Regions from separate parts of the Mus musculus genome. Here region 1 is reported to be linked to region 2. The links are microRNA targets in miRTarBase. Many come from high-throughput screens and were not tested one by one. Region 2 holds a microRNA gene; the other region holds the end of a gene's coding sequence.
What was found. Region 2 holds the annotated microRNA mmu-miR-1964-5p (AGCUGGAGCACAAAAGCCGGUG, at 9,766-9,787, opposite strand). A microRNA usually pairs through its seed, bases 2 to 8, with sites in the 3' UTR of a target mRNA and lowers its output. Matches are read on the target gene's strand: a 7mer-m8 pairs with bases 2 to 8, a 7mer-A1 pairs with bases 2 to 7 and ends in A, and an 8mer does both.

Region 1: miRTarBase lists Lrrc8e as a target of mmu-miR-1964-5p. Seed matches in the 3' UTR shown: 7mer-A1 at 4,799-4,805 and 7mer-A1 at 5,330-5,336.

The regions. Positions count from the first base shown.
Region 1 is chr8:4,231,446-4,246,222 of GRCm38, forward strand. It overlaps Lrrc8e (leucine rich repeat containing 8 family, member E), which reads left to right. Exons shown (of 3, transcript NM_028175.2): 2 at 217-359; 3 at 2,470-6,025. The coding sequence starts at 222. The coding sequence ends at 4,719. Map2k7 (mitogen-activated protein kinase kinase 7) reads left to right here and starts at 7,295. Exons shown (of 12, transcript NM_001164172.1): 1 at 7,295-7,588; 2 at 9,243-9,290; 3 at 11,859-12,000; 4 at 12,108-12,174; 5 at 12,298-12,411; 6 at 12,506-12,625; 7 at 12,784-12,891; 8 at 12,982-13,161; 9 at 13,250-13,330; 10 at 13,416-13,558; 11 at 14,098-14,143; 12 at 14,250-14,777. The coding sequence starts at 7,465. The coding sequence ends at 14,384.
Region 2 is chr7:29,768,315-29,783,091 of GRCm38, reverse strand. Mir1964 (microRNA 1964) reads right to left here and starts at 9,798; the gene lies at 9,716-9,798. Zfp84 (zinc finger protein 84) reads right to left here and starts at 14,540. Exons shown (of 5, transcript NM_023750.2): 1 at 14,397-14,540; 2 at 11,689-11,753; 3 at 7,628-7,754; 4 at 7,101-7,187; 5 at 1,673-6,960. The coding sequence starts at 11,721. The coding sequence ends at 5,528.

The DNA of each region.
Region 1 (14,777 bases), not on the chromosome of region 2:
GTGAGACTGGGAAAGAGGTGAGTTCCGAAGGAAGCAACAAGACCCCGGCTAAGAGGGGAAGGGAACATACAACGATGCATAGATTCTAGAAAGTTCTGGCCAGGCTGAGAGTGCGTAGGCTTCTGAGCTATGTCTGGCCTCTCGGGGTTTCCACCAGGCACACCCTTGCTCTCACTGTTTGGTGTCTCAACCCCTCTTGTCTTCTGACTCCCATAGGCAGGATGATCCCAGTGGCGGAGTTCAAGCAGTTCACAGAGCAGCAGCCTGCATTCAAGGTGCTCAAACCCTGGTGGGATGTTCTGGCTGAGTACCTCACCGTGGCTATGCTCATGATCGGGGTATTCGGGTGCACCCTCCAGGTGAGGAACAAAACAAACCCGGGCAGGGCCACACACATTGGCAGTTCCTATGACTAGAGTTTTAGGACACACCTTCTTGACAATGAGTGGGATGTGGCAAGGCAGGGCCATGTTATGGCAATAAACTCTGTAGGTGAAAGAGCAGACAGGGGAGGGGGTACACGGGATCTGGCTCTCATTGTGGCCATATTCCTGACCATGCTAATGACTGGGGCCTTGAGCTGCTCTTTCCAGGTTAGGGGTGAGGCTGGGGATGTGAAGGTGTGACACATCTTGGCAACTCTCCTCATGAGTGTCTTTTTAAAAACACACATTTTGGCCGGGCGTGGTGGCACACGCCTTTAATCCCAGCACTTGGGAGGCAGAGGCAGGTGGATTTCTGAGTTCGAGGCCAGCCTGATCTACAGAGTGAGTTCCAGGACAGCCAGAGCTACACAGAGAAACCCTGTCTCGAAAAATCAAAAAAAAAAAAAAAAAAAAACCCACACAAACTTTTTCTTTTATGTGTATGAGTGTTGACCTGCATGTATGTATGTGTACATGCAAGGTACATGTATGCTTGGCACCTGTGGAGGTCAGAAAGAAAGGTTAGCTTTCCTGGAACTATAGATGCTTGTAAACCACCATGTGGGTGCTCAGAACCAAACCTGGGTCCTCTGCAAAAGCAACAAGTATTCTTAACCAATCTCTAGCCCCTTCAGTCATGAAGGAACTGGGCCTCACCATGGCTGCGTTCCAGGTGAAGGGCAGGACCATAAAGGGACGTGGTCTTAACATGACAATGCTCATGCCTGGGGTAGGGGGGTCTTCAACTGTGCTATGCATATGGGTAAGACCCCTCCATGATGATGAGACAGGGAAATGTGTTCAGCTGGGCTCTCTAGGTAAAAGAGCAGATCTCTAAAGGAGTAGGCCTTTTGCTTGAAGTCCTGAAGCCTCCCAAGTCTCCTAAGAAGAGGGAGAAAGAGCCTGGGCATGGTGGTGAGTGCTCTGTAGACAGAGGCCTGAGGATCACAAATCTGAAGCCTAGGCATCTTAGCAAGACTCAAAGTTAAAATTAAGGCCAGGTGTGGCAGTGCACACCTGCGTTCCCAGGATATAGAGAAAATGAATCAGGATCCTGGGTTCCAGGTCAATTGGCCTATACAGTGAGACCATCTCTAAAATAAAATAAATAACATAGGAAAGAAGAAAAAGTATCAGTATTAGAGTACTTGTCCAGCTTACATGAGGTCCCAGGTTCAATAAAAATCATCAATAAAATAAGAGAAACAGACAAGAGGAAGGCAGTGCCAAAGCCTCCACACAGACCAAGTCTAGTCCCCTACCTTCTCTCCTCCATCCCCACAAGCAGTGGTCAAAGTCTAAAATAATATTAGAGTGTTTCCATACACATTTACTTTTTCCTTTTTTGTGGCTTCCAGTGTTAAACAGGATTCTACTGCAGGGCCAAACTGCTAGCCCCTCACGGGGGGATTCTAGGTAGGGGCTCTACCACTGAGCAACACCCTAGCCCCTCTGGGGGATTCTAGGCAGGGGCTCTACCTCTGAGCTAAATCCTGTCCATTCCCTCCCTTTCACTAGTGTCTATTGAAGTTGTCTAGGCTGAACTTATACCTACTTTGTAGCCCAGGCAGAGGCTGATTCTCCTGCCTCAGGCTCCTAAGTAACTAGGACTATAGGCTAGCATCACCAGGCTAAACTTTTTTTCTTATAGAATTTTGTTATAGATATAACTTAATTTTTTTAATTTGTTTATTTGGTGGTTTTTGTTGTTGTTATTGTTGTTGTTTCTTGAGACAGGGTTTCTCTGTGTAGCCCTGGCTGTCCTAGAACTCACTCTGTAGACCAAGCTGGACTTGAACTCAGAAACCCACCTGGCCCTGCCTCCCAAGTACTGGGATTAACGGCGTGCGCCACGTGCACCACCACACATGCTCAGCTCCCCTAGAACTTCTTTTCAGATTAAGATTGATGCTATAGTTTAACAGCTCTTCCACACTCAAACAGCTTACAACTGTCTAGGATCAGGGTCTCCCACCTCATCCTGCTTCTCTCCCGTACAGTTCCCTAGTCCCCTCACTGTCTTTCACTCTCTCCCTATCCCCAGGTGACACAGGACAAGATCATCTGCTTGCCTAGCCACGAATCTCGTGAGAACATATCGGGGGCTCCATGCCAGCAGCTTTTGCCTCAAGGAATCTCTGAGCAGATGGGGGGTCTCCGAGAGCTCAGTGGCCTCAAAAACAACCTAGACCTCCAGCAGTATAGCTTTATCAACCAGCTCTGCTATGAGACTGCCCTCCACTGGTATGCCAAATACTTCCCCTACTTGGTGGTTATCCATACTCTCATCTTTATGGTCTGTACCAGCTTTTGGTTCAAATTCCCTGGTACCAGCTCCAAAATAGAACACTTCATCTCCATCCTGGGCAAGTGCTTTGATTCTCCATGGACCACTCGGGCCTTGTCCGAGGTGTCTGGAGAAAATCACAAGGGCCCAGCTTCTGGACGGGCCATGGTGACCACGGTAACCACCACAGGGGCAGGGTCGGGGAAGGTGGGTGAAGGTGAGAAGGAGAAAGTGCTCATTGAGCCCGAAAAGGTGGTGTCTGAGCCTCCAGTTGTTACTCTGCTGGATAAGAAGGAGGGCGAGCAAGCGAAGGCCCTATTCGAGAAGGTCAAAAAGTTCCGAGTGCACGTGGAAGAGGGTGACATCCTCTATTCCATGTACATCCGGCAGACAGTGCTCAAAGTGTGTAAGTTTTTTGCCATCCTGGTTTACAACCTGATCTATGTGGAGAAGATCAGCTTTCTGGTGGCCTGTAGGGTGGAGACATCAGAGATCACGGGGTATGCCAGTTTCTGCTGCAACCACACCAAGGCCCACCTCTTTTCTAAGCTGGCCTTCTGCTATATTTCCTTTGTGTGTGTCTATGGCATCACCTGCCTGTATACACTCTACTGGCTCTTCCATAGGCCCCTAAAAGAGTACTCCTTCCGTTCTGTGCGTGAGGAGACAGGGATGAACGATATCCCGGATGTTAAGAATGACTTTGCCTTCATGCTCCACCTCATTGACCAGTACGACTCCCTCTATTCCAAACGCTTTGCAGTCTTCCTCTCTGAAGTCAGTGAGAGCCGCCTTAAGCAACTCAACCTCAACCATGAGTGGACACCTGAGAAGCTGAGGCAGAAGCTGCAGCGTAACATGCGTGGCCGGCTGGAGCTGAGCCTCTGCATGCTCCCTGGACTACCTGACACCGTCTTTGAGCTCAGCGAGGTGGAGGCACTCAGGCTGGAGGCCATCTGTGACATCTCCTTTCCCCCTGGGCTCTCCCAGCTTGTGAACCTTCAGGAGCTCAGCTTGCTTCACTCACCAGCCAGGCTGCCCTTTTCATCACAGATCTTCCTGCGAGATCGCCTGAAGGTGATCTGTGTTAAATTCGAGGAGCTCCGAGAGGTACCCCTCTGGGTGTTTGGGCTTCGAGGCTTAGAAGAACTGCACCTGGAAGGACTCTTTCCCCCAGAAATGGCTCGGGGTGCCACCCTGGAGAGCCTCCGGGAGCTTAAACAGCTCAAGGTACTGTCTCTACGTAGCAATGCAGGGAAGGTGCCAGCCAGTGTGACTGATGTGGCCGGGCACCTTCAGCGACTCAGCCTGCACAATGATGGGGCTCGTTTGCTTGCCCTAAACAGCCTCAAGAAGCTGGCAGTGTTACGGGAGCTGGAGCTGGTGGCCTGTGGGCTGGAACGTATCCCCCATGCAATCTTCAGCCTGGGGGCTCTGCAGGAACTTGACCTTAAGGACAACCACCTTCGGTCTATCGAGGAGATCCTCAGCTTCCAGCACTGTCGGAAGCTGGTCACTCTCAGGCTGTGGCACAACCAGATTGCCTATGTGCCCGAGCATGTGAGAAAGCTCCGGAGCCTGGAGCAGCTCTACCTCAGTCACAACAAGCTGGAGACTCTGCCCACCCAGCTGGGCCAGTGCTTTGGCCTCCGCCTGCTGGATTTATCCCACAACGGGCTTCGTTCCCTGCCACCTGAGTTGGGCCTTCTCCAGAGCCTCCAGCATCTAGCCCTCTCCTACAACGCACTCGAGAGTCTGCCCGATGAATTGTTCTTCTGCCACAAGCTGCGGACGTTACTCTTGGGCTACAACCACCTAACTCAGCTCTCACCTGACGTGGCTGCCCTCCAGGCCCTCAGCCGTCTGGAGCTCAAGGGTAACAGGTTGGAGACACTGCCAGAAGAACTTGGTGACTGCAAGGGGCTGAAGAAGTCGGGGCTGCTGGTGGAGGACACCCTTTATGAGGGACTGCCTGCAGAAGTTCGGGAAAAGATGGAGGAGGAATGAAGCCTGGTGGGGGAAGGGGCAGGCTGACACAGAGGCCTTTACATGTTTCTGCCCAACATTGTATTCCAAGGGAGAGAGGTCCAGCAGGAGTGGAAGGAAGGCAGGACATGTCGGTTTTGTGCAGCTCAGACAAGATCCTGGGACTGGTTTTTCTGGAGGAGAAACAGGAGGCGGTAGATTTGAGGTGTAACCCCTTAGGGAAGGATTAACCAGTCTTAGGTTCTTCAACCAAAACCACACCTGTGTCTTTGGCTGGCTGGCTTGCCCTTCCTCTGAACATTCTGGCTTAATTAGTTTCCTATATGGGAGTGGGATTTCCAACCTTTCCCAACAAGGATCAGCATATACTTAGGGTTCTCTCCTAAGGAGAGGATACAGGGTCCAGTTCCAAAGTTCCATATCCCAACTTTCATGCAAGTCCTGATTTTATAAGCCCTTTGTGACAGGGATGGGTACTTAGAACAATGGCTCTCACATTTAGCTATGTAATAAAATCAGCTGAGAGGCCCGGAAGAAAACAAAACCCTTACATGCTTCCCACCCCACCCCTGAAATTATACTGACTCAGAATTTGGATGGGTAGCTGAGCATGGTGGCACACGCCTTTAATTCCAGCACTCAGGAGGCAGAGGCAGGTGGATTTCTGAGTTCGAGGCCAGCCTGGTCTACAAAGTGAGTTCCAGGACAGCCAGGGCTACACAGAGAAACCCTGTCAAAAAAAAAAAAAAAAAAAATTGGGTGGGGCCAGGAATCTGCTACTAAGTAAGAATGCCAGGTAATTCTGATTCAGGTGGTCCTGAGACCACATAATGGAAATATTGACATAAAGACTGGGCTGGCACTGAAGCTCAGTTGTGAGAGTGCTTGCTTGACATGCAGGCAGCCCTGGGTCCCGTCCTCAGCATTTCATAATCTAGGAGTGGTGGAACCTATGTAATGTAGAGATGCCTGTATAGTACTCTGGAGGTGGAGGGAGGAGGCGTGAAAGGTTGGAGGTAGCCTGGGAGACGGAGCATAGCTCATCTCAAAACAACTAAGAATGGAATACTGACATGTCAGCTATGGAGCCCCTTTTCTCGAGCCGTAGGGAGTCCCATCAAGTTAAGCAGTGTTTTCTCAGGACAATGCTCATGGAACATAAAGAAGAAACTGTAAGCCGAGTCTCCTGTCACACATTCCCACCTGAGTCCAGTGCTGGTGAAGGCTACCTTTTTTCCCAGTTCATTCAGGGATTTTCTTTTGAATGTTTCCTGTGCAGGGGAGCATATACCACTGGGTGCTTAATAAACGAGAACGGTAATTTCCACCTCCTTGTACAGTATGATTGTCTAAGCTGCCTATAACTGGGGCCAAATGATGACACCTGTCTATCAAATCAGGCTGTCTGTCCTGGGAGGAAGGATATCCAAGTTACTTCAACGAGGTGAAGTAGAATCAAGAGAAATTGGGTAGTTTTCTGCCTAGGTTTTTTTTTTTTTTTTTTCCTAAAGAATCTACCTCACCCCACCCTCTAAAACAGTTGGATGGTGGTGATGCCTATCTTCAGTCCCAACACTCCAGAAGGCAGAGGCAGGTGGATTTCTTGAGTTCCAGGCCAGCCGGGTCTACAGAGTTACAGGGCAGCTAGAACTACACAGTGAAACCTTGTTGCGAAAACAAAACAAAACAAAACAAAACCAATCCAATTTTCCTCTCCTCTTTTATCCTTTTAACTCTAAGCTTCTCTCTGCTCCACCCATAGGTCATTACCAAAGGAGTTCTAAGAAGCCTTTAAAGGCCAAGGCCCATCCCAAAGTGTTCACTGTTGCTTCCGGAGTTGTGCGCAGCCTGACCTCCTGGGTTTGGTCTCTTGCTGAATGTCCCTGCACATTCAACGACCCGAATTTACACACAAACTTTATCCTAGCACTCTTGGAAGAACTTAATGCAGGGTGGGGATGGGGCTAGCAGGGCAGAGGCATCTAACCCCAGGGACTGTCTTCAGATAACATTGGTTTCAAGTCCGGATTCTCCGGGCGAAAGGATAGGAATGGGGCAGAAAGTCTGGCCTTAACCTTGATTCTGACACCGAGCTCAGGAATCACCAACTCTGGATTCCCTCTCCACTTGTCAGGGCTACTCTCACTGTGCTGGGACTGGCTGAAATGGAAAGGGATTACCATGGGCACCTAATTACGGTGAGGAGGCGGCTCCATGCTAACAGCGAGAGTTCAGGCCGCAATTAAGCATAACAGGTCCTCATGAAAGACCGTCCTAGACGAGGAAGGTTGTTCCGTGAGGGCGCGGGCACCAGAGCGCCCTAGAGATGCACACGAAGTGAAGAATAATCTGGGAACAGCCGTAAGCGTGTGCAGTAAAGGCGCGAGCTTGGCCGGTCTCCCGCTTCTGCACGCAGGCGTGCGGTTGACCGGACTTCGCTTTCTCTCTTTTTTTCTTTTTTTTTTTTAAGTGATTTCCAACAGCGCTTAATCGCCTGAAACTTCACGCATGCGCACTGCGGAAGGCAGCGATAGGCCATGACAATGCATGAGGCCCGCCTCGGGCTCTAGGTGGCATCAGCTTCCTACTGGAACCCAGTGCGCACGCGCGGCGTTATGCACGCGAGGCAGGGCGGGCACGCGCTGGGGTGGTCTAGGCAGGACGGCGGCTCGGCGGGGTCATCCGAGCGCAGGCGCAGTGCGGTGTTTGTCTACCCCGGACTGACGGGTGGCCTGGCGGTGAGCGGCGGCAGCGGCGGCGGGGAAGATGGCGGCGTCCTCCCTGGAGCAGAAGCTGTCCCGCCTGGAAGCCAAGCTGAAGCAGGAGAACCGTGAGGCCCGCAGGAGGATCGACCTCAACTTGGATATCAGCCCACAGCGGCCCAGGCCCAGTAAGCACGGCCTCGTGGGGGAGGGGCGGGCGGGGCGGGGCGCGCACTGGGAGGCCCCGCCCACCGGGCAGATCCTGCCCCCGCTTCCGGGGCGCTAGCTCTCCTCCCCTCCACTCTCTGTGCTGTCGGCTTGCAGGGAGAGGGTCACGGTGACCTGGAAGTCGGGTGGGCAGTCTCCAGGGCGACTCTCTCCGCCCACGTACCGCGGTCCCGAAGTTCACACCGTTGGTACCTGAGAGCTTAGTCCCTCACCCTGTGGTCGGCTTCCGGAGCCTTGTCACCTGCACCTTGCAGGCTTTCAGACTCGAAGCTACGCCGCTGTGACTACAACCAAGTCTTTTAACTCTGCAAACAGTTATATCTCTTCTGATTCAGTGGTTCCACTCCTGCCGAGTCAGTGACTGTCAAGAGGTCCCCTCCCCTAGCAGACAGTCCACACACGTGCATGCCTATCTGCCCATGTAGGTCACTAAGTCCTCATCTACATCCGTTTTGATTGGAGGCTTCTATTTGACTTCTTTGGTCATATCAGATGGCTCCTTCTAAGCTTGGAAGGACCTTGTCACTGGACCCAGCTCACTGCCTCCTACATACAGGGGCACCTCATATCTCTAATGACCAACTACTTTTCACTATTGCTGTCTAGCCCTCAGGAAACACATAGCCATCTCTCAGCCTGGCAGCCTTTGTCTACAGGGCTCAAGTGACTGCTACTACTACAGACACCTGTAACCAGTGTAGTCCCATCGAGTAGAAACGCACCTCCTTTCTGAGCCTACTGTCTTTGGGCCTGCCTCCTGACATACGGTCCTGTACCAAAAGTGCTTCCTCTTCCTTTCTAGACACACATCCAGCTTGTCCACCATGACCACAGTTAGCATCCTTGTTGTATCCCAGATACCCCTGTCCCAAGTTGTCTTTGCTGAAAGAATCTGGCTTTTTTTCTCCCCTCTCTGTCCAACCCTTCCTCTGTCCCTCTTGATTCAGCAGAATGTCTTCTTTATATCCTCTGTGATGTAATCTTTGGAGTATACATACTATAGTTGTCTGTGTGGTCACTATGGTAAGAGGGGAAAGGCAGCCTCCTGTAGGTGAAAATTCTGTTCACTACCTGGCCACCTGGCCTGACTGACCTTCACAGCTTGATCATCTTCCTGAAGAGGCATTCAGGATTCCCTCCATCCCTACCCCTTCTGGACAAAGTCTTCCACGTTTCCTTCCTGGGAGTTTCTTCCAGGAACTGGAGATACCCAGAGGTGGGGATGCATTTCACTGATTCTGCCTGGGACCAGAGGTTGGGCCCCTGCTGGATTCCAGGGCCATCCCTCCACGGCCCTGTGGATGAGACAGGGTTGGGAATAGGGTTCTAGGTGCCATAAGAGCTGCCTGTCCCTAGAGCAGAGTAAGACCTGGTAAGGCTAGTGGCTGGCAGGCCCCAAGGAGTCCCCTGCAGGTGTCTGTCTCTGTCAGCTCCACACCTTCCTGCCATCATCCCATCTCTGTTGGTTTCTACCCATCTCTGCAGTTTGGTGCCTTGTGCCTCCCCCTCCTCTTCATTATGATTTGATTTCTTTTCTGTTGGACAAATCGGTTGTTTCTGTTGTGATTTATTGTGGTGTTTTTTTTTTTCTCTTTTCTTCCTTTCCCCATCCAGTTATTGTGATCACTCTAAGCCCTGCTCCTGCCCCGTCCCAGCGAGCAGGTACCAGCCTTTTTATCATTGCTGCTTGCATATCTGCACATTGACCTAACCGCTGCCCCAGCTGCAGAATGCCATCCCTACCCTATGCTGTATGTGGGTGTGTGGGTGTATTTGTGTGTGTGTATAACTTAGGGAGAGAGAGAAGGAAAGAGAGTTCTGTGTCTTCATTTTCACTCTCCCTTAACTACAGAAATGTGAGCCTGGCTATACTTTCTCTGTGTCCATTAGTCTTCTCATTTCTTCTCTGGCTCAATCTGGAATCCTAGAAGATGAAATGAGCTCCCTTAATGAGCAGGAGTCTGCTAAGTGGGCACACAATGATGTGTGTGTGTGTATAAATAAAGTAGGTAGAGATAGGTGCACTGCTCTTATTTAATCTGTCTCAACTATGAAGTGAATGAGTGTCATTATTTGTGTACTGTGTCTCCTTTCAGAACCAGGAACCTAGCAGTAAGTAAAACAGATCAAGCTCCTATCCTGTGGGGCTGAGGATGCAGGATGGACGGGATCCATTAGTGGTCACGAAGCATGTGTCTGATCCAGCAGAATAGTCTAGTAGGGTCTCTGCAGAGGGGTCTCTCAGGGAAAGCCTATGGAGGATACAGGGTTTGAACAAAAGTATACCAAGAGGTTAGGGGAAACAAGACCTCCCCCCTCCACCCCTTCCTCCAACCTAAGGTCTCCAATGCTAGGTAGATCAGCTGTGCTAGTTCCTAGGTGTGTAATGTCCTGTGTGTGTAAGAGAGCACCTGTGTTGATAGAAATGAGAAGAGCTCACTATTGGTGCTAGTGTGTCCCAGCTTGTGTGTATACATGGATGCGTGTATGTGTGCTGTATGTACATGTTTGTCTTTTTGCACATGAGTGTATGTATGTTGGGCTGGTAGCCTGCACACATATGGATCCCATAAGTGGGTACATGTCTCCATGGTCTGTCTTGCTTTCTCTCATTCATTCAATCATTCTCACTTTGTTTTCCTTCACTGACTTATACTTAATCTACTTTCTAGGCCTGCCGTGTGGCTCTAAACCCCTCTAACTTCTGTTCTCAGGGCTTTTGTCTGTCTGTCTGTCTGTCTCTCTCTCTCCCCCCTTTTCCACCAAATCCATGCTTCAGAGAGTGGGGCCAGCAGCCTTTTCCCTGGATCTGGAGCAACCCAAGAGGGCTTGATGGTCTGTGTGGGTCAGGGGACTGGCAGGGAGTACAGAGGTTAGAGGTGTGGTCACTCCAGAGAGCTGAGTTGCCAGACAAAGAAGGATCACACATGTACTCATGGACGTGAGCTGTGGACAGTTCCTAGTGAGTCTGGATACAGTTGGGCCCCAACTACCAGAACTAGAAAAGACCTGGATATCTGCAGTAAAAGCCCATTTGTCTCTGACCATTAATTGCTGGGCCCAAGTTACTAAACGCCATTAGAGGGACTGTGGGAAGAGACGGTAGTAAAGATAAGGGTGGAGAGGTGTGTTAGAAAGTGGCAGGCTCCAGGCCTTCTGCGAAGTGATGCTTGAAGGGTGCTTGTTGCTGTCCTGAGCTGAGCTAGCCTCCGGGAGCCTTGGGACCCTTGAAGTATGAGAGGTTCATGGAGAGCAGATGCTTCCATGTACAAGGGGGCTCACGGCCCCTGCCTCTAGGCCAGAGAGACCCCCTAGCTCTTCAAGGAATGTCCTCTTAATGTCTCATATCCTCTCTGGCTGTCTCTGCAGCACCTCCTCTGGGCAGCTGGGTCCCAAGTCTTGGCTCCTCCTGTCTGTCTTTCTCCTGTCATCCCTCACCCTAACACTACCCGCCCGTCCTGGGGTGCCTGCTGCCTGCCTGCTATCTGCCTGTAGCATGCCCGAGCTGTCCGCATGCAGGCCATTGGGAAGTACCAAGCTCCCCTCCCTGGCCCAGCATTTCCCCCCTGGCCAGCCCAGCTAGCCCCTGGAAGAGCTTTGCCAATTAGATCACCATCGATCTCTCTTCACAAGAAATCAAGCTTACCCTGGGGTTCTGTTCCCGATCCCTTGACCCCAGCTCTGCAGGCCTGGCTGGGAGGTGCACAGATGAGACAGCTGGACAGAAGGTGGCCCTCCCTGGCCTAGGAGTCTAATCTAGGGCAAGACAGCCTGAAACCAGAGTTCCATAGCTCTTGGCTCTTGTCATCCACAGTGTAGTGTTGGTGGCCAGGCCAGGTTCTTGATGGGCATTCTGTCCTCACACATTCCCCATGTGAGCACTGCGGCCCTGGGCTGCTTCCTGGCACTGAGAGGGAACAGAGAGCTCTGCCAGGGAAGCTCCCTGGCAGAGACCCCTCACTTCTCTGCAGTATGTACTTGAGGATAAGCCCTCAGCCTGTGGGACTACCCCTCTCCCACCAGGCCACCCCATCTCCTTTCAGGTCAGAGGGGCAGGAGGAAGGACCCTGAAGATGCCCAGGGGGTGGGGAAGAAGGCCCTAGCCAGCAGAGCAGGGGACTGTTCCAGCTTGGCCGAAGGGATACCAGGAAGGGGAAGATGAGAACGCCGAGTCCTTGGTGGCCAGCTAGATGCTAACTCCTTTCATGCCCCTGGTTTTTAATTCCCCAGCCCTGCAACTCCCACTGGCCAACGATGGGGGCAGCCGCTCACCATCCTCAGAGAGCTCCCCACAGCACCCTACACCCCCCACCCGGCCCCGCCACATGCTGGGGCTCCCATCAACCTTGTTCACACCGCGCAGTATGGAGAGGTAAGCTGGTGGAGCAGGGCCAGCATTGGGCCCTCCTGCTGGTCCGAGGGAGGCGGGTGACATTTGTGGGGGCCCTCCTTACCATCTTCCATTTTCTGTCCTATCAGCATCGAGATTGACCAGAAGCTGCAGGAGATCATGAAGCAGACAGGGTACCTGACTATCGGGGGCCAGGTACTACCTCCCCATAGCTCGGCACCCTGGGGGATGTGTCAGGCAGGACCCGGGCAACCTGGAGGTGGTGGGTGACAGAGCAGAGGCCCTGAGGACCCTCCAGCTGTCTTGCTCTTTTCCCAGCGTTATCAGGCAGAAATCAATGACTTGGAGAACTTGGGTGAGATGGGCAGTGGTACCTGTGGTCAGGTGTGGAAGATGCGGTTCCGGAAGACAGGCCACATCATTGCTGTTAAGGTAAGCCTTCCACACCCCAGTGCCAGGATGCACCTTGTGACCTTGCAGCCTGCTCAATACTTGAAGCTCGCCCCTTGGCTGTCCCTCCTTGCAGCAAATGCGGCGCTCTGGGAACAAGGAAGAGAATAAGCGCATTTTGATGGACCTGGATGTAGTACTCAAGAGCCATGACTGCCCTTACATCGTTCAGTGCTTTGGCACCTTCATCACCAACGTGAGCACCCTGCCTGAGGGACCAAGCCCCTTCTGGGAAAGTCTCAGGTTACCCTCTGCCCCTATAAGGTCCTACATGTCTCCAAGTACCATAGTGTGGCTAGGGTGGGGAAGAAAGCATGGCTGTCCCAAGCCCCAGGTACCACCCTCCTTCTACAGACAGACGTCTTTATTGCCATGGAGCTCATGGGCACATGTGCAGAGAAGCTGAAGAAACGAATGCAGGGCCCCATTCCAGAGCGAATCCTGGGCAAGATGACTGTGGCGGTGAGCAGCTAAATCTGGGCTTGTATGGCTAGGTGGGTGTCCCTGGATTCTGTCTTCCATGACAGGTGCCCAAATGTGTATGTCCTACAGATTGTGAAAGCACTGTACTATCTGAAGGAGAAGCATGGCGTCATCCATCGCGATGTCAAACCCTCCAACATCCTGCTAGATGAGCGGGGCCAGATCAAGCTCTGTGACTTTGGCATCAGTGGCCGCCTTGTTGACTCCAAAGCCAAAACACGGAGTGCTGGCTGTGCTGCCTATATGGCTGTGAGTAGGGCCCTGCTGGGTTTGACCAGGGGACTGGGTGGGCTGGCCCTACCTTCAGGGTATATCCTCCTTCTCTCTCACCTGGCAGCCCGAGCGCATCGACCCTCCAGATCCCACCAAGCCTGACTATGACATCCGAGCTGATGTGTGGAGCCTGGGCATCTCACTGGTTAGTTGGGGCTGCTGTTCTAGGGCTTGGTGGGAAGGCAGGGATCTCTTACCTGCTGTTTCAGCAATGCCTGTCACCCTCCCAGGTGGAGCTGGCAACAGGACAGTTCCCCTATAAGAACTGCAAGACGGACTTTGAGGTCCTCACCAAAGTCCTACAGGAAGAGCCCCCACTCCTGCCTGGTCACATGGGCTTCTCAGGGGACTTCCAGTCATTTGTCAAAGACTGGTGAGCACTCCCATGCTGCCTGTCCTGGCTCCTACCTCTCTACTCCGGGATGTTCTGGAATGTCTGGTGTCCTCATGCTACTGGGGAGGGTGGAGGCTGGGAAAAGGGGACGGGATGAGATGGGCACAGCTACAGGTACACCCATGGCTTGTGGCTGTAGACAGGAGTTAAAGCTGGAGCCCTGGGAGTCACTTTTTGGGTTTGTTTGGACCTGTGGGGAACCGCTGGCCCTGTGGGTGTCTGGCATGGCGACCCTGTGGCTTTGCAATGGAGGTTGTGTAGGAATATCACACTTGAGTCTTAACTTTCTCTGATGTGACCCTCACATTGCGCGTGGTTCCAGCTCCCCAGCTGGGTCTTTACCTAATACTATATTGGGCCAGGAGAGTTTGTGGATCCCCAGCCTGGTGGAGCCTGGCTGTGAGCAGCTGCTTCTGGCTTACTGGAGAGGGAGGGCCTGAGCATAGATGGGCATCCAGGCACAGTCGGGCTTCATTTTTCTGACTCTCATTTCTCTTTTCTCCCTGCTCTTTGTCCAGCCTTACTAAAGATCACAGGAAGAGACCAAAGTATAATAAGCTACTTGTGAGTACCTCTCCCCCAACCCCCACCACGTGTGAAGTCCTCCGGGTCTCAGTTGCAAGACCAGGAGGACTGACTCCTCATAATAAGCAAACTCTTGGGCCTACAGGAACACAGCTTCATCAAGCACTATGAGATACTCGAGGTGGATGTCGCGTCCTGGTTTAAGGATGTCATGGCGAAGACCGAGTCCCCAAGGACTAGTGGAGTCCTGAGTCAGCACCATCTGCCCTTCTTCAGGTAGCCTCATGGCAGCGGCCAGCCCCGCAGGGGCCCCGGGCCACGGCCACCGACCCCCCCCCCAACCTGGCCAACCCAGCTGCCCATCAGGGGACCTGGGACCTGGACGACTGCCAAGGACTGAGGACAGAAAGTAGGGGGTTCCCATCCAGCTCTGACTCCCTGCCTACCAGCTGTGGACAAAAGGGCATGCTGGTTCCTAATCCCTCCCACTCTGGGGTCAGCCAGCAGTGTGAGCCCCATCCCACCCCGACAGACACTGTGAACGGAAGACAGCAGGCCATGAGCAGACTCGCTATTTATTCAATCATAACCTCTGGGCTGGGGTAACCCCCAGGGGCAGAGAGAAAGCCCCTTGTCCCCATCCCCCCAAACTCCCAGTGTCTGTCCCCTCCAC
Region 2 (14,777 bases):
GACGGCACCTGAAATCGCAGTATGGGCTTCTCTGAAAGAATAATCGATTGGGTTTTCATGTTATTCTTATGTTCTTGTGGTGGTTTGAATAGGTATGGCCCCATAGATTCATGCATTTGTATGCTTGCCCATGCCAAGTAGTGATTTTATGTGTGGCCTTATTGGAGGAAGTGTATCATCACCGTAGAGGCGGGGCTTTGAGGTCACATATGCCCAAGGTACACCACATCTGCCTGCAAGCCTCCACCTTTCCCGCAGGACGATGGTGGACTGAACCTCTGCAAGCCAGCCCCTATTAAATGTTTTCCTTTATAAAAGTTGCCCTGGTCATGGTGTCCCTTCACGGCAATAAAACCCTAAGAGAGTTATGTTAGAAAGAGCTTTCCTTTAGCCCGTTTAATTTAGTCTCAACAGCACATATGCATAGATTCTTAATGAGTTATAGTTAATTTAATTCTTTTTGATGCCTATTTTTTTCCCAAGATTTGGTTTGTGGGGGCCCCTTTAGCCTGACATTGGTGGGCTGTTTATTTGAACGACAGCCCAGGCTGGCCTGGGACTTGTGATTCTGCTGAATCAGCTTCTCCATTCAGCTGGAATTACAGGTATTAGGCACCACCCTGGGTTATTGGGTAGCTTGTCTTCTGATAGGTTTCTAACACTGATGAGGATGATGATGATTAGTATTATTAAATATTATAGCATTTAATAATTGAGGGGTCTGGAAAGGTGGCTCAGTGCTTAAAGGACTGACTGCTCTTCCAGAGGACCCAGGTTCAGCTCTCAGCACTAACATGGTGCCTCACAATTGTCTGTAGCTCCAATACCAGGAGATGCAATGACTTCCTCTGGTTTCAATGGGCAACTGGCAATGCATGTAAGCAAAACATTGATTCACATAAAATACAAGACAAAAAAAACTACAGAGCAAGGCCCTGTTTCAAAACACAAGAAGGTGCTGAAGAGACAGCTCAGTGATTAAGAGCATGCTTTTGCAGAGGACCCAGTCCAGTTCCTGGTTCCTAACACCCCTGTGCCTGACAGCCATCCAAACTCCAGCTCCAGGCAGGCTGATGCCTCTGGTGCCACACATGTCTTTGATAGCACCTGCCCTCACAGGCACAGACCACACACATAATGAAACTGTAGAGTCTTACTGCATGGCCCTGGCTGGCCTGGAATTGTGTGGAGACCAAGCTGCCTTTAGACTCAAAGAGATGTACCAGCCTTTGCATCCTGTGTTCTGGGATTAAAGGTGTATACATCATGCCCAGCTAAAATTAAATCATAAACAGAGGAGTAGGGGGTGAGGAAGAGCAGGGAGCAGAGAGAGAGGAAAGGAGGCAATAGATCAGCCAGACAGAATCCAACTGGGCGTGGTGGGATACACCTGGAATTCCAGCACGTGGGAGGCTATCCGGAGGATCGGGAGGTGAAGGCCAGCCTAGGCTAAATAGCAAGACTTATCTCAAAATGAAAACGAATTTTAAAGGGGAGGGGATACATCCAAAAATATAGGAACCCAGCTTATGAGTTTGTGATTGAAATGATAGGATCAAGTGTTCAGACAACCAAGCTGTCAGCCGTGAAGGTAGCCGCCTAACTCGACATAGCCCAAACTGCTCCAAGTCCTGTATTGGCATTTTAAATCATAAACCATGAGAGGAAAGCATGGGATTTTGGAAAATATATTGGAATGGGGGAAAATGATTTACAAGCATTAACACCAAGACAGATACCTTCCAATCATGAATTGCTTAAGTCTACAAATCCAAACCAGGCATAAAAAAGAGAAAACTGGTATAAACACAGTTCGAGAGGATTATAAGTCTTACATAGCCATCAGGAAAGCAATCATTCAACAGAAAATGGTACTGAGACACTCCACAGAAAATGTAATATTTGAAAATAGGAAAATATGGCATTAGATGCAAGTTACATACAGCAGGAAAAATGCAAATTAAACTGTCATAACACTTTTTACCTAACAGACTAGCGAAATCAAAGCTTTAACAAACAAAAAAGTGTCAGAAAAATGATTGGATAGGGGCACTATGTAACATTGGAGAAAGAACCAAAAGCTAGTAACATTGGCCTTTTGTAAATGTACATATACTAGAAAGTAGCAACTCCAACCCAGGGATGAACCTTTAATAGATATCTGCAGATAGAAGCTAATATGTACAAAGATCATCACCTCGTTCTCTATCGCAAGGGAGAAAAGGGTCTACATACCTCAGAAAGCGTTCGATTCAACTAACTGTGGTTAAGGCCAAAAACCCCACTAGACAGACAAGAACTATGAATGAGGGCATTAGTCTTTATTTTCTAACATGTTCCACTTCCTACACGTAGAAGTGCTAAAGGGCTCATTCTTCAATAATGTGTAGGATTCAGTTTCAGTGTTGAGAAGGAGTCTCATTATGTAGCCCAGGCTGCTCAGGGCCTACACTCCTGAGTGCTGGAATGCAGGCCTTAGGAACTATGCCTTGTGATCCCCACAGCCTCCACTTTTATTCCCCCCCCCCCCCCCAGACAGGGTCTCACTATGTAGACCAGACTGGCCTGGAACTCAGAAATCATCTAGCCTCTGCTAGGATTAAAGATGTGAGAGACATCACTACCCACGTCAGTAATTCCTTCTTAACAGCGAAAGATTATCCCAGAATATGTCAACTGTTTAAAAACTTGTATCAACTTTTGCTTCCCACTAAATTCCTAACGTGTTACATTTGCTTCCACCTTTTAAAATGCTCTATCATCTTGAGACAATGAATTCCTCACGGGACCTGTTTCCTGGAAACCCTGTCCGCTACACACGACTGCATACCACAAACTACCACTTCCTCCTCAGCTCCATTAAGTTTTCTTTAACTAATGGTTGTTTCAAGGATATTTAAGATATTTCAAAATATATGGAGCGACATCTCTAGGCCTAGGTAAGAATGCATTAGATAAATTAGAACTGACTGATACTGATTCAGACTTGAAGTTTAAGACACAGGAAATAAATTCTTATATAAAAGAGTATTCTGTAAGTTTGCGAGAGGCCATGTGTGTGTTAGACTTTTCAATGGTCTTTGTTCAAATGTGCTGTCCTGATTTTGCCTGACAGCCATGTTAAAGTCCAAGCTGGCTTTTTTCTTTGTAGTTCTGATTAACTTTTGCTTTTTCTTTATGGAGCCCATGCTGCTGGTTACATACAAATAAAAGCATCCTGACCCTTTTAACGAATCTTCACACATTATGTTCTTTTTTCCCTAATTTTTTGGTAAACCAGTTTTTTGTTGTTTCTTCTTGAACTCCTTTGGTTAGTATCTCAACAGCACGGGCTTCCCCCGTCCCTCAGTTTTGATCTTTCTGCAGCATTGTCTGTCTTCCCTTTCCCACTTTTAAGCTGGGGCTGTCCTATGGACCTCAGGCTAATCTGAAGCCACAGCAATATCGTTCCTTGCCAGGGATAATTTCAGATATGACCCACACCAACCTAGTATTCCATTTAAATGAGAAAAAAAGCTTCCTTTCGGGGGGGGGGGGGCTGGAGAGATGGTTCAGCGGTTAAGAGCACTGACTGCTCTTCAGGAGGTCCTGAGTTCACATCCCAGAAACCACATGGTGGCTCACAAACATCTGTAATGAAATCGGATGCCTTCTTCTGGTGTGTCTGAAGACAGCTACAGTGTGCTTACATATAATAAATAAACCTTTGAAGAAAAAAAATCTGTTTAAAAAATTAAAAAACACTTCCTTTCAACTACAGCAATCAGCCTATTCAAAAGGTTATTGGAGTTACTGATACAATTTATGTTGACCATTCTACCACACAATTTCCCACTGGCAAATTCCATGTTCACTGCCTTTGCTTGCTGCCTGATTTTGAAATCTGGAGAATACCTTATTTTATAGCAGTCAAACTTTCTGTCTGTACCTGGTAACAGAGGTCTATAGCCCCAGCTATTTGAGAGGCTTAATGTAAGGGCACCAAAGCCTGCCTAGGCCATTTAGCCAAGACCCTGCCTGCCTCAGAACAAAGAGAGCCGGGAATAAAAGGCTCTAGGGCAGAGCCAAGCTGAGCAGGCTCAAGGCTCCAAGTTCAAGCCAGTGTGGTAGCTCACACTTCTAATCCCAGCACTCAGTAGGTTCAAGCAGGAGGATTGCCACAAGTTTAAGAAAGACCATGTCTTAAAATAAAACCCACCAAAGCCAACCGAACAAACATACTTCTGCCTGGGAATGCTCTACTTCCCATTAGCTCTGACGGTTGTGCTTGTGTCTTTCAAATGTCCCTCTAGGCCCCCGAAAACCTAGTCTATGTATCAGATTTGGAAAAAGCTCCTAAAGTCCGGTTATCCATTTTATTGATGGTTTTTAGAAACTTCTTTAAATTCATTGATTATTGTATATAATGTGTAATTCTGCTGTCAACTCTAAGATTTATTGCTCTTTGGGGGGGGGGGGGAAGGTGTGTAATTTGACAACATCTATTCAAATGAACCACGCCAGGCTTTAGTGTGTAGAGCTGTTGTTCTTCCACACTGAAGCAAGCTGTATTTTCAGACTGCACTTTTCACATGACTGAGAGTCACCTGGTGACGGTGACAGATTATGAGTTTGTTCCAATTCTTGTCCTGCACAGATCCGACTGTCCTCTGCTGTGCCGGGCACCCTGAGCAGTGAGTCCATGTGGCCTTGCTAGGGTCGGCTTTCAGACTCAACTCAAGTCGAAGTGGAAATCTGCTCGTGTTCCGTTCCAATCACTGTCACGCCGGAACTCCTTTTGAAGGCTTTGGCATGGGACAAGCACTGACAGGCGATGTCATGAATAAAGTGGGTATGAATGTTCCAAAAATAGTAACAAAGAACATCATAAGAGGACGGTTCCGAATCCTTCCTGATCCTGTCTAGCAGCTATGCCAAAGACCCCATTTACTGATTCATCCCGTCCCCAAAATAACCATCCTCCCAGCTAAAAGGCAGCAATCTGAAGCAGGGCTGAAGTCAACTTAATAAAACACAGTCAGCAATCGATGCATGTGAAACCCCTACACTAACAGCATGCACACCATTGTTCTCTATGTGGTACTGTCTATAACTATACTTAAATAGAACCCTTCTACTGGTAATAGAATTAGTATTTCTATTCATAATTTAATTTTTATTTTTCCTATGTGAATTAATACTCAATAAACAGTAGGTTATAAAGCAAAAAAACAAAAAACAAAAAAGAAGAAAGCAAAAAAAAAAAATAGAATAGTCATCAGATGGTTCTCTCTGACAAACTCTATTCCATAACGAATAGCCGAAAATAAGGAGAGCTTCCTATTTTGAGCATAGTATAAATTGCACAACGTGAAGCACAGTCTGAGAGGTTGTTTCACACCCTTCCCTTCCAGAAGGCTTTTCCAGCAGTCTGCATAGCTGAGGGACACATAAAGGTGTTTCCCGCATTTCCGAGTCATTAATGTTTATCTTCTGTGTGGTTGTGAAGATGCTGAGTCAGGGATTTTCAGTAAATAGAGGGCAGTGTTCAGATACACAGGATTTCCCCCACCGTGTGGACTCTCTGGTGTTTCTTCACCTGTAAGAGCCGAGTGAAGGCCTGCCCGCACTCCTTACACTCGTAGGGCTTCTCGCCAGTGTGGATCCTCTGATGCTGCGTCAGGTGGGACCTCTGCCTGAAGGCCTTGCTACACTGCTGGCACTGGAAGGGCTTCTCGCCAGTGTGGATCCTCTGGTGCAGAATGAGAGTTTTACAATCAATGAAAGCCTTCCCACACTCTTTACACTCATAAGGCCTCTCTCCAGTGTGAATCCTCTGGTGTCTGTTAAAGTAGGAAGGACACGCGAAGGCCTTCCCACACTCCTTACATTCGTAAGGTTTTTCGCCAGTGTGGACTCGCTGATGCTGGATGAGATGGGCTTTCTGCCGGAAGGCCTTCATACACTCCTGGCACTCGTAGGGCTTCTCGTTTGTGTGAGTTCTATAGTGTTTCATGAAGGCCGAATGGCAGAGAAAGGCCTTTTCGCAGTAGTTACACTCGTAAGGTTTTTCGCCGGTGTGAATCTTTTGGTGATCATTCAGGTTGGAAGCCCAAGTGAAGGTCTTTCCGCATAAGTTACACTCGTAGGGTTTCTCGCCGCTGTGGATCCTTTGATGTCTAGTGAGGTTGGCACTCTTGTTAAAGGCCTTCTGACATTTGTGGCATTCGTATGGCTTCTCGTTGGTGTGGGTTCTCTGATGCTGAAAAAACGTGGAGAAGTAGAGGAAGGCCTTCCCACAGTGCTTGCACTCGTAGGGCTTCTCGTCCGTGTGGACCCTCTGGTGCTGGACGAGCAGCGAGCAGTTGGTGAAGGCTTTCCCGCACTCCTTACATTCGCAGGGTTTCTCCCCCGTGTGAAAGCGGTTATGCTGAACAAGGTAAGCGTGCTTCTCAAAGATCTTGCCACAGATCTCGCACTGGTAGGGCTTCTTGTTGATCTGATACGGGGCGAGCTGAAAGTCATAGGCGAATCCTCTGCTGCACGCCTTTAGCTCATCACATCTGTCCCCAGCAAAGTCCTGCTGACGCTTCATCTCACCTGTGTAATAGATAAAGGCATTCTCGTACATTTCATTAAGTTTGTCACTGGTAGGAATTCGCACCTGTTGAGTGATGGTTTCGCCTGCGTCCTGCTCAGAGAGTTTCGTTTCGGAATGCGTCACTTCACTCAGAGCAATGGGTGCAGGCTGAACGAATCTGGCTGACGTCTCTTCCAACGGGTCTGTCACTCCCTGTAAATATTCCTCTGTAGATTCCCGTTTTGTCTCAAGGAGTCCCTTGCATTTCCAATCATCTCCAAAACAAGATTCCTCAAGGCAAGAACTACCAACTCTTTCTATTATTTTCCATTTTAACGATTCCTTTCCAAAGATGCCATTCTTTAGAGACAAACTCTTAGCTTCATTTACAGACAGCAGATCTGAAAGAAAGTAAGTTCATCAGCGCGAGCAGACACGGGGCACCAGACAAACAGAACCATGTGCTTCCTCACTATTTAACACGCATCAGTGTTTCGCCTACGTATTTATCTGCGCACCATGTGCAGTCGTCTTTCCTCACCTGGGCACCATCCTGCTTGCTCCACTATCCAGGGCTCTTTGCCTTGCTCCAGCAGTGAAATTATTGATGGCTTAGAAATGGCAAGTCCTACTCAAAGAAAGAGAAAAAGAGAACGGTAAAGACAAATACAGAGACAAGCCTCAACAGCAAAAGGCATTCATCACAGAACTAACAACCTGAAACAAACTGCAGATCCTCAGAGTGACTGTGATGCAAACAAACAAACTAACTAACTAACTAACTAACTAACAAACAAACAAACAGCGAGCAAGCCACCACTTAGCAAGCACCTTAGGAAATAACTGTTGCTTGCAGGAATCACTGAAAATTAAAAGAAGCAGGAAAGTATCTTGAGAAAGTATGTGCCAGAGTGTAGCAAAGGATTCAATGGCAGCTGTTTACCAGCTGTGAAGCCATGACTGTGGGGATGGAAAAGGCTCAATAGTTTGAGGCTGCATGTGGTAGACTTATCTCCCTCCCACAGGCCTTCATCCCTAGCCCTTACAGAGAGGTACAGATGAACTTACCCAGCGACACAAAGTTGCTGTAGTTCTCCAGCATCACATCTCTGTATAGCGACCTCTGCTCAGGGCCCAGACACTCCCACTCCTCCTTACAGAACTCCACAGCCACGTCCCTGAACACCACCAACTCCTGAAATGAACGCATGAGGTAACACACACAGCAGGGAAGACTTCAGGGAAACATTAAAGCTCTTTCTTCAAGGGGTGCCAGGGCAAGGCATATCCCCTTTCCAGCACAGGGAAACTGAACATTTCAAGGAAGTGGCCTTTGGCCCCTGAGAAATCACTTCTGAGCCCTTGATTTCCAGCCTGATGAGGTGGGTTTATCTGGTTGTTTGTTTGTTTGTTTGTTTTTTAACTGTATGCCTGAGACCTTGACCTGTTCCAGCTTGACTTCTAGGAGGCCAAAGAGTCAGTAATGTAAATGAGATGTAGCCATAGCAGGTTCTCCCAACAAAAACTCCAGCAGAAAAGGCATTTGCCAATTGTCCCTTGTTGGCCACACTCCCAACATGCTGTCTCACATCAAGCCTGTGTCTAGGCTCCCACAAGGATGACACAAATGCTACTTTGTCCTTGGCAAATTTCTCTTTCCTAATTTGCCTTTTTTTGGGAGTAAATTCACAAGCTGGAGGATAACTGCTTCTCTCCATCCTGCAAATTCAACCACAGACTCGCTCCAGTCTAGCCAGCCAAGTGGCTCATTCTCGTGACTCTAGCTAGCACTGGGGGGCACAGCCAGAAATTCAGGGCTAGCCCGGGGTCTTAATTAGGGTTCATATTACTGTAGTGTAATTTATCTTGCGCACTTGGCCCTTTAAAGGATCTCCAGTTGCTAGTCAACTGGCCCTTTAAGAATTTTTTGTTGTTAAAACTGCTTGACTTCATGACCTTCAGGGTTGGTTGCCTCTCAGATTTCTGGGAACAGGATAGGTTATACAAAAAGCCAGCTGAGGCAGAGAAAAAAGGAATGGGGCTAGCAGAGTGAGGAGACAATTGGTGGAGAAGATGTTCAGAGACTGAGCTGAGCAGATAGGCTAGAACAGTTGTTATAGTTTGGAGATGCTTGTATTGAGAGAACAGGCAGAAGAGACTGTTGAAGCACACAGTTGGGGAACTGAGGGAGGAATGGCTGGGAGAAACATCTGAAGAGGCTGGGCTGGAAACTGGGAGGAGGGCTGACAGGGAGTTGAGAGATTTGGTTACTGTTCTAAATACCTAGCCATTTTACATATTACTGTGATGGAACATCAAAACCAAAGCCCCTTGGGAAAGAGGGTGTGTACTCCCGGTGCTTCCAGGTATCTGTGCATCACTGAGGGAAGCCGGGGCAGGAGCTGATACAGACGCCATGGAGGTGCGATGCTTAGTGGCTTGCTTCCCATGGCCTGCTCAGACTCCTTTCTTGTAGAACGCAGGACCACCAGCCCAGAGATGGCCTTGCCCACAGTGGGCTGGGCCTTCCCCCATTGATCACTAATTTAAAAAATGCCCTGCTGGCTTGTCTACATTCTAACCTTATGGAGGCATTTTCTCAACTGAGGCCCCCTTCTTACTGACGAGTCTACCTTGTGCCAGATTGGCATAAATACTAACCAGGACGCCTGGGCTACACAACGACACTCAGTCTCAAGTAAGAAAAACAAGAACAAACTCAAACCCACAGATGGGGCATTGCAGGCGAGGGTAGAAGGCATCCAGCACTGCACTGGGGCCCTTCGAGAGGCTCAGAGCTAGAGAATGTAATTGTCTTGGTGTAAATGCTGCAGCTGCCCGGAAGGATGAAGCCATTTGCTGCTGAGGCCACCTGTTTTCCGAACTTGACACGCTCAAGTGGAAGCACTTTGGTTATGATTAAAATAGTAATAGGGAGACATAAAATAGCAAGGGGCATACTCCTGGGGAGAAGGGACACAGAGGCATTTAGAAAATAAAAAAAGCACTGCCTGTAGGAGAACTAAAAGCAAGACGGACAGTTGACTCCCTGCTCCCTTTGGCATCTGTCCCCTCCTCCCTGTGGTACTAGCATACCTCTGCAAGTAGGTGTGAGGATTAGTCAAGGCAATACCAGCAATGCCAGCCGAGGCTACCTCCTTCCTTCCAAAGCCGGAGCCCAGAAGTCGGTGTAGGCATCACACCGGCACCGGCTTTTGTGCTCCAGCTTCGCAAGAAAGGTTAAGATGTTTGTGTTAGTTGCTTTGATGTAGAAAATTTTGGGCAAGAATTTAAAGTTCAGAAAGGTTCATTTTTGAAAGTTGAGTAAGCCTGGTTATTACTAGCTGAGGTGCCTTTCTTGATCAAGCTGGGTGGGTGATTAAGGGTAATGGTTAATTTCTTGTAGCCATTTATGCCCTCGGCTTTCTGATCCTATGATTTAGTAAAAAAATTTAATGTGTAGGGTGCACCCTGAGGGCTTAGAAAAAAGTTAAAGGAAAATGATTGTTTTTTTATATAAAAGTTTAGATTTATGATTAAGATTTTATATAAGATTACTTTTTGTGATAAACAATTAAATGATGGATCCAAAGATAAATGATAAAAATGATCGAGCCTTTCTTTGCAACCACAAAATGCAGCTTGCCGGTAAGAGAACTGGCTGAGAACACCTTGCTTACACGTTGTTAATCTATAACAAGTTACTTAGACATGAGTGTATGTGGGTCCTTGCAGATCAATTGGTTTTCACCTGTACTATGTAAAATGTTTATTCGTGTAAAAAGTGCTGAGAAACAGACTGGCTTTTTACTTGTACTCACTGTAATCATTCACTTGAAGAAAAATAGAATGTAGCCACATTGCAACTTATACATTGCCTGAAAGTCTTTGCTGGGGGATATAAGCTTAAAAGAAAAACTACTGAGGTCTACCCCGCCAGCAGAGCTGCAGCCATTTTGCTCCTGCCAGCTATTTCACATTGCTGCTGTAAAACATGCCTGCCTGTCACTGACACAGAAAAATAACTTGACTCAGAGCAGGGTCATGCTGACCATATACCCTGTTATGTTCTGTAGGTTATGAGGTTTGTTAATCTTAGGAAATTTCACAACTATAGGCTTCACTTGGGACCCATCAACTTAAAGGTCAATTTGAACTGCTATGCATAAACTGGCCTCAGTCAGGGCCGACCATCAGGTGGCACTTCCAGCACCTACTTATGAGCTCATTGTGGTTTTTGTGGCTTTAGCCTTTATAAGCTGATACAGAAGAATGTTTGGGGTCATAGCCTCAGCCCCCCGAATTCTGAGCAATGGCCTTGATTGGTCAGTCTTAGGGTGTGCGCTCAAAAAACTATCCCTGTCTGACTGAGATCAGTGTTTTTGCAGTTTGTGGGGTGACTCCTGGACCCCACTAAAAACAAAGAGAACCTGTCTGAATTATCAAAAGATTCCCATGTCCATGTGTCCTGTCACTTCACCCCTCCTCTTCAGCCCCTGCTGTGTTGAACGAAGCTGGCCCTCAACATGTTACACACATCAATTTAGTTAAAACTAATCTAAAGTAAATGCTATTACTTCTTCTACTTTCAGATCATGAAAGTAAGGAATAGGAAAATGAAGTAAACTCATGAACACTTAGGAACTGGGGTTCCTTACATGGCCTGGAAGATGCTTGAATTAAAAAAAAAAAAGAAAAACAGTGGCTGGAAAGAGATGGCTTAGTGGTTAAGAGCACTGGCTGTTCTTTCAAAGGACGGGGGTTCAATTCCCAGCACCAACATGGCAGCTTACAACTGTCTCTAACTCCAGATCTAGGGGATTTGACACCCTCATACCAATGCACATAAAGTAAGATTTAAAATTATTAAAAAGAAGAAGGAGAAGGAGAAAAAGAAGAAGAAGGAGGAGGAGGAGGAGGAAAGAGAGGAAGAGAGAAAGAAAAAAAAAAAGAAGAGAAGAGAAAAGAAGAGAAAAGAACAGAACAACCAGACAGTCCCTTATAGTTCACCGGAGAAAGAATTATGCTGGCAAAGCTCAGACCTTCCATGGTTACCATGACAATGGGGGTGCAAGTCCATTTCAGGAATTAGCAACCAGAAGAGAGCTGGCAGGAGAAATTCACCTCACCTTAAACACGGTGCTGACGTCCACAACGGCCATGCTTCTCAGCTCTTCCGGGCACTCTGGACAAACTGCAGAATGGAAGAAGGAAGGTGGAATTGGGAGAAACATCCCATGACCCATTTTCCCAGGCCCTCAGGCTGCATATACAGATGAGTGTGAGCTGCATTTCCTATTCATGTGGCAAGGAAGTCTGTAGGAGTTCAAGGCCAGCACGGTATCCACATAAAGAGTTCTGGGCTAGCCAGGGCTGCTACATAGACTAACACACACATACACACACACACACACACACACACACACACACCAATAATGACAACTGAAATGCTCCTGAGAGACACTCACAGGGATCATGGCAGACCCTCATTCCTTCAGTTTGTAAGGCCTGCGACCCACCCAGGAAGTTTCCTTCCTACCTTATTAAATAGGGTGAGGAATAAACCTTCCTCATATCCCCTTATCTCAAGGATAGAAGCCATTCATCTGTAAGCATACATGGCAAAACCTTCTTATAAACATAAAGAGATTTTTCTTTTTCAAAGATGGTGTTTTACTAAGTACACCAGGCTAGTCTCCAATGCAAAGGCCCACTTGCCTCTGCCTCCCAAGTCCTGGAATTTGAAATGTGTATTATACACCTGGCTACTTTCTTTTCTGTTTTCTTTTCTTTTCCTTTCTCCTTCCTTCCCTCCCTCCTTTCCTTCCTTCCTTCCTTCCTTCCTTCCTTCCTTCCTTCCTTTCTTCTTTTGGGATAGGGTCTCACCCTGTAGCTCTGGCTGTCCTGAAACTCGATATGTAGGCCAGGTTATCCTCAAACTCACAGAGATCTGCCTGCCTCTGTGTGCTGAGTGCTAGGATTAAAGGTGTGCGCCACCATGACCAGCCTTTAATTTTAAAAAACGCTATGTCCACAATTGATGGCCTAGGTCTCTTCGAGAACCCGGTAAAATGCCTGCTGTTTTTTCTTTTTTTCTGCAGGCAGCCTGAGCTTCTCCAAACTTTTGTCTGAGAGTTTATGCTCAGAATTGTTTTTGAAAAAGCTTTACTTATTTTATGCTTATGGGTGTTTCACCTGCACGTGTGTCTGTGTACCACGTGCATGCCTGGTGCCCTGAGGGGTCACAAAGAGGGGACTGTATCTGCTGGAACTGGAGCTATGGACAGCTATGAGTGTGGGTACTAGGGACTGAACCCAGACTCTCTGAAGAGTAGCCACGGCTCTTAACCACCGAGCCATCTATCTAGACACTAGACAGATGAATAAAATGAAATTCTGTCCAAAGTTCAAAGCCGTGCCTCTAGGCTACTCACTCTTCGGTGTTACCATGAACAGGTTCAATCATCTTCAAAACCTCCACATGCACCTCACCCCAGGACTAACCAATTCTATCTCACCCCACACTCCCTTTTACTAGGACAGTAGGAAGAGTTCCTCATGTCATGAAGAAAGGCGTTTCTGTGGATTCCTCCATACCAAGCCAAAAAAAAAAAAAGGAACTTGATCTCTCTGGAAACCGTAAACAAAAAAACAAAGTACATTTCAGGAACTTCAAATAATTTCTGCAGGAACTGGCCAGGTGCAGTATTAAAGTCCATTAGCCCACTTAAGCTGCTATAACAAAATACCAGAGACTAGCTTATAAATAACAAACTTATTTCTCTGTTGTGGTGGCACTGACAAATTAGGTGTCTAGTGAAAACCGATTTCCCCGGTCCCCAGATGGAGTCTCTGGACTGCACTCTCACCTAGAGAAGGCAGGTAGCTCCAGGGAGCCAGGGCACTACTCCCATTTAATTACCTTCAAAAAGCCCCCACCTTCTAAACCCACCACACCGAGGACTAGTTTTGTAACTATAAACTGGACAGGGTGAAGATGGGGTACAACGGAGACTCCGTGTGCTCACTATGTCTGCTTCTTGACAGAAAAGCCTAGAGCTGAGGAAGTTGTCTTTTTAGAACCTGAAGTGGATCACCCAGAATCATGAACTTCAAATTCTGACTTCTCTAGTGGTAGTCAACAGAGGCTAAGATTTTCTAAGAGTTCCCTAAACAAGGCTAAATGGCTACTCGGAGGGTGTGACACAAAAGTAGGAACCCACAGTAATTACGTTTTTTCAAATACAATTTCTATACACTCATCCGTTTCTGAGACAGGATTTCACTATGTGGGTCCCGGTAGCCTGGAACTCACTATGTTCCCACGGCTGTCCTCAAAGTCACTGACTTCCAGCTTCCGCAGCTCGAGTGCTGAAATTATAGATGTGGGTCACCATATCTAACTCCTAACTACAGTTAAAAGTCATGCTGATTGGTAAACTGATCTATCTTGAACACAGAAATCCTTACCGTCTCTACTATTTAGCTTTCTCCCCCCTCCCCCCAAATTTTCAAATAAACTTGACATAAATGGTGTCCCGCACCTCCCGCCCCCGACTTTGCGTTGCAAGACTAGAGGATCTGGTAACCACCTACTACCCACGTTCTGCTGACTTCGCGCACTCTCTCTCTCTCACCCTCCTGTACAATCCACATCCTCCAAAAACCTTTTCGCCCATGCAGTCACACTCCCGCCGCCTTAGTCCCTCTTTAAGCCTCTAGCGCCATCCCGGAAACCGGGTGGGTCCCCTAGAGCCGGCCTGCAGCCAGCGACCAACAAATACAGGCCTTAAGGACTGTATTTACACAAAGCACTTAAAACCAAGGGCAGACTCACTTCAAAAGTATAAACTGCGATCTCACGGCTTCGAACTCGGACGACCAGCGAATACCGACCAGGACAGTACCGGGTTAGGTCGGGTAGGGCACTGAGATGATCCGGAACAACCTCTTTCCAGCCACTTCCGCCATGTGGCTGAGCATTTATAGTGGACTACATTTCCCAGAAGGCGGTGCTACTTCTAGAGTCTGCAGGAGAGTTTCAGTGTGCGAGAGAGGAAGTAGAGATCTGTTGAAACTAGAGAACGGACGATTAGTTTTCTAAAGGGGGAATTTCCCAAGGATCCAAGGCTTGAAGTCTCTGAAACTTAAGCAGTTTCGGCTCTGTGGTGGGGGTGGATCTTTACTCCAGCTACAGAAGCGAGGCAAGAACCCGAGC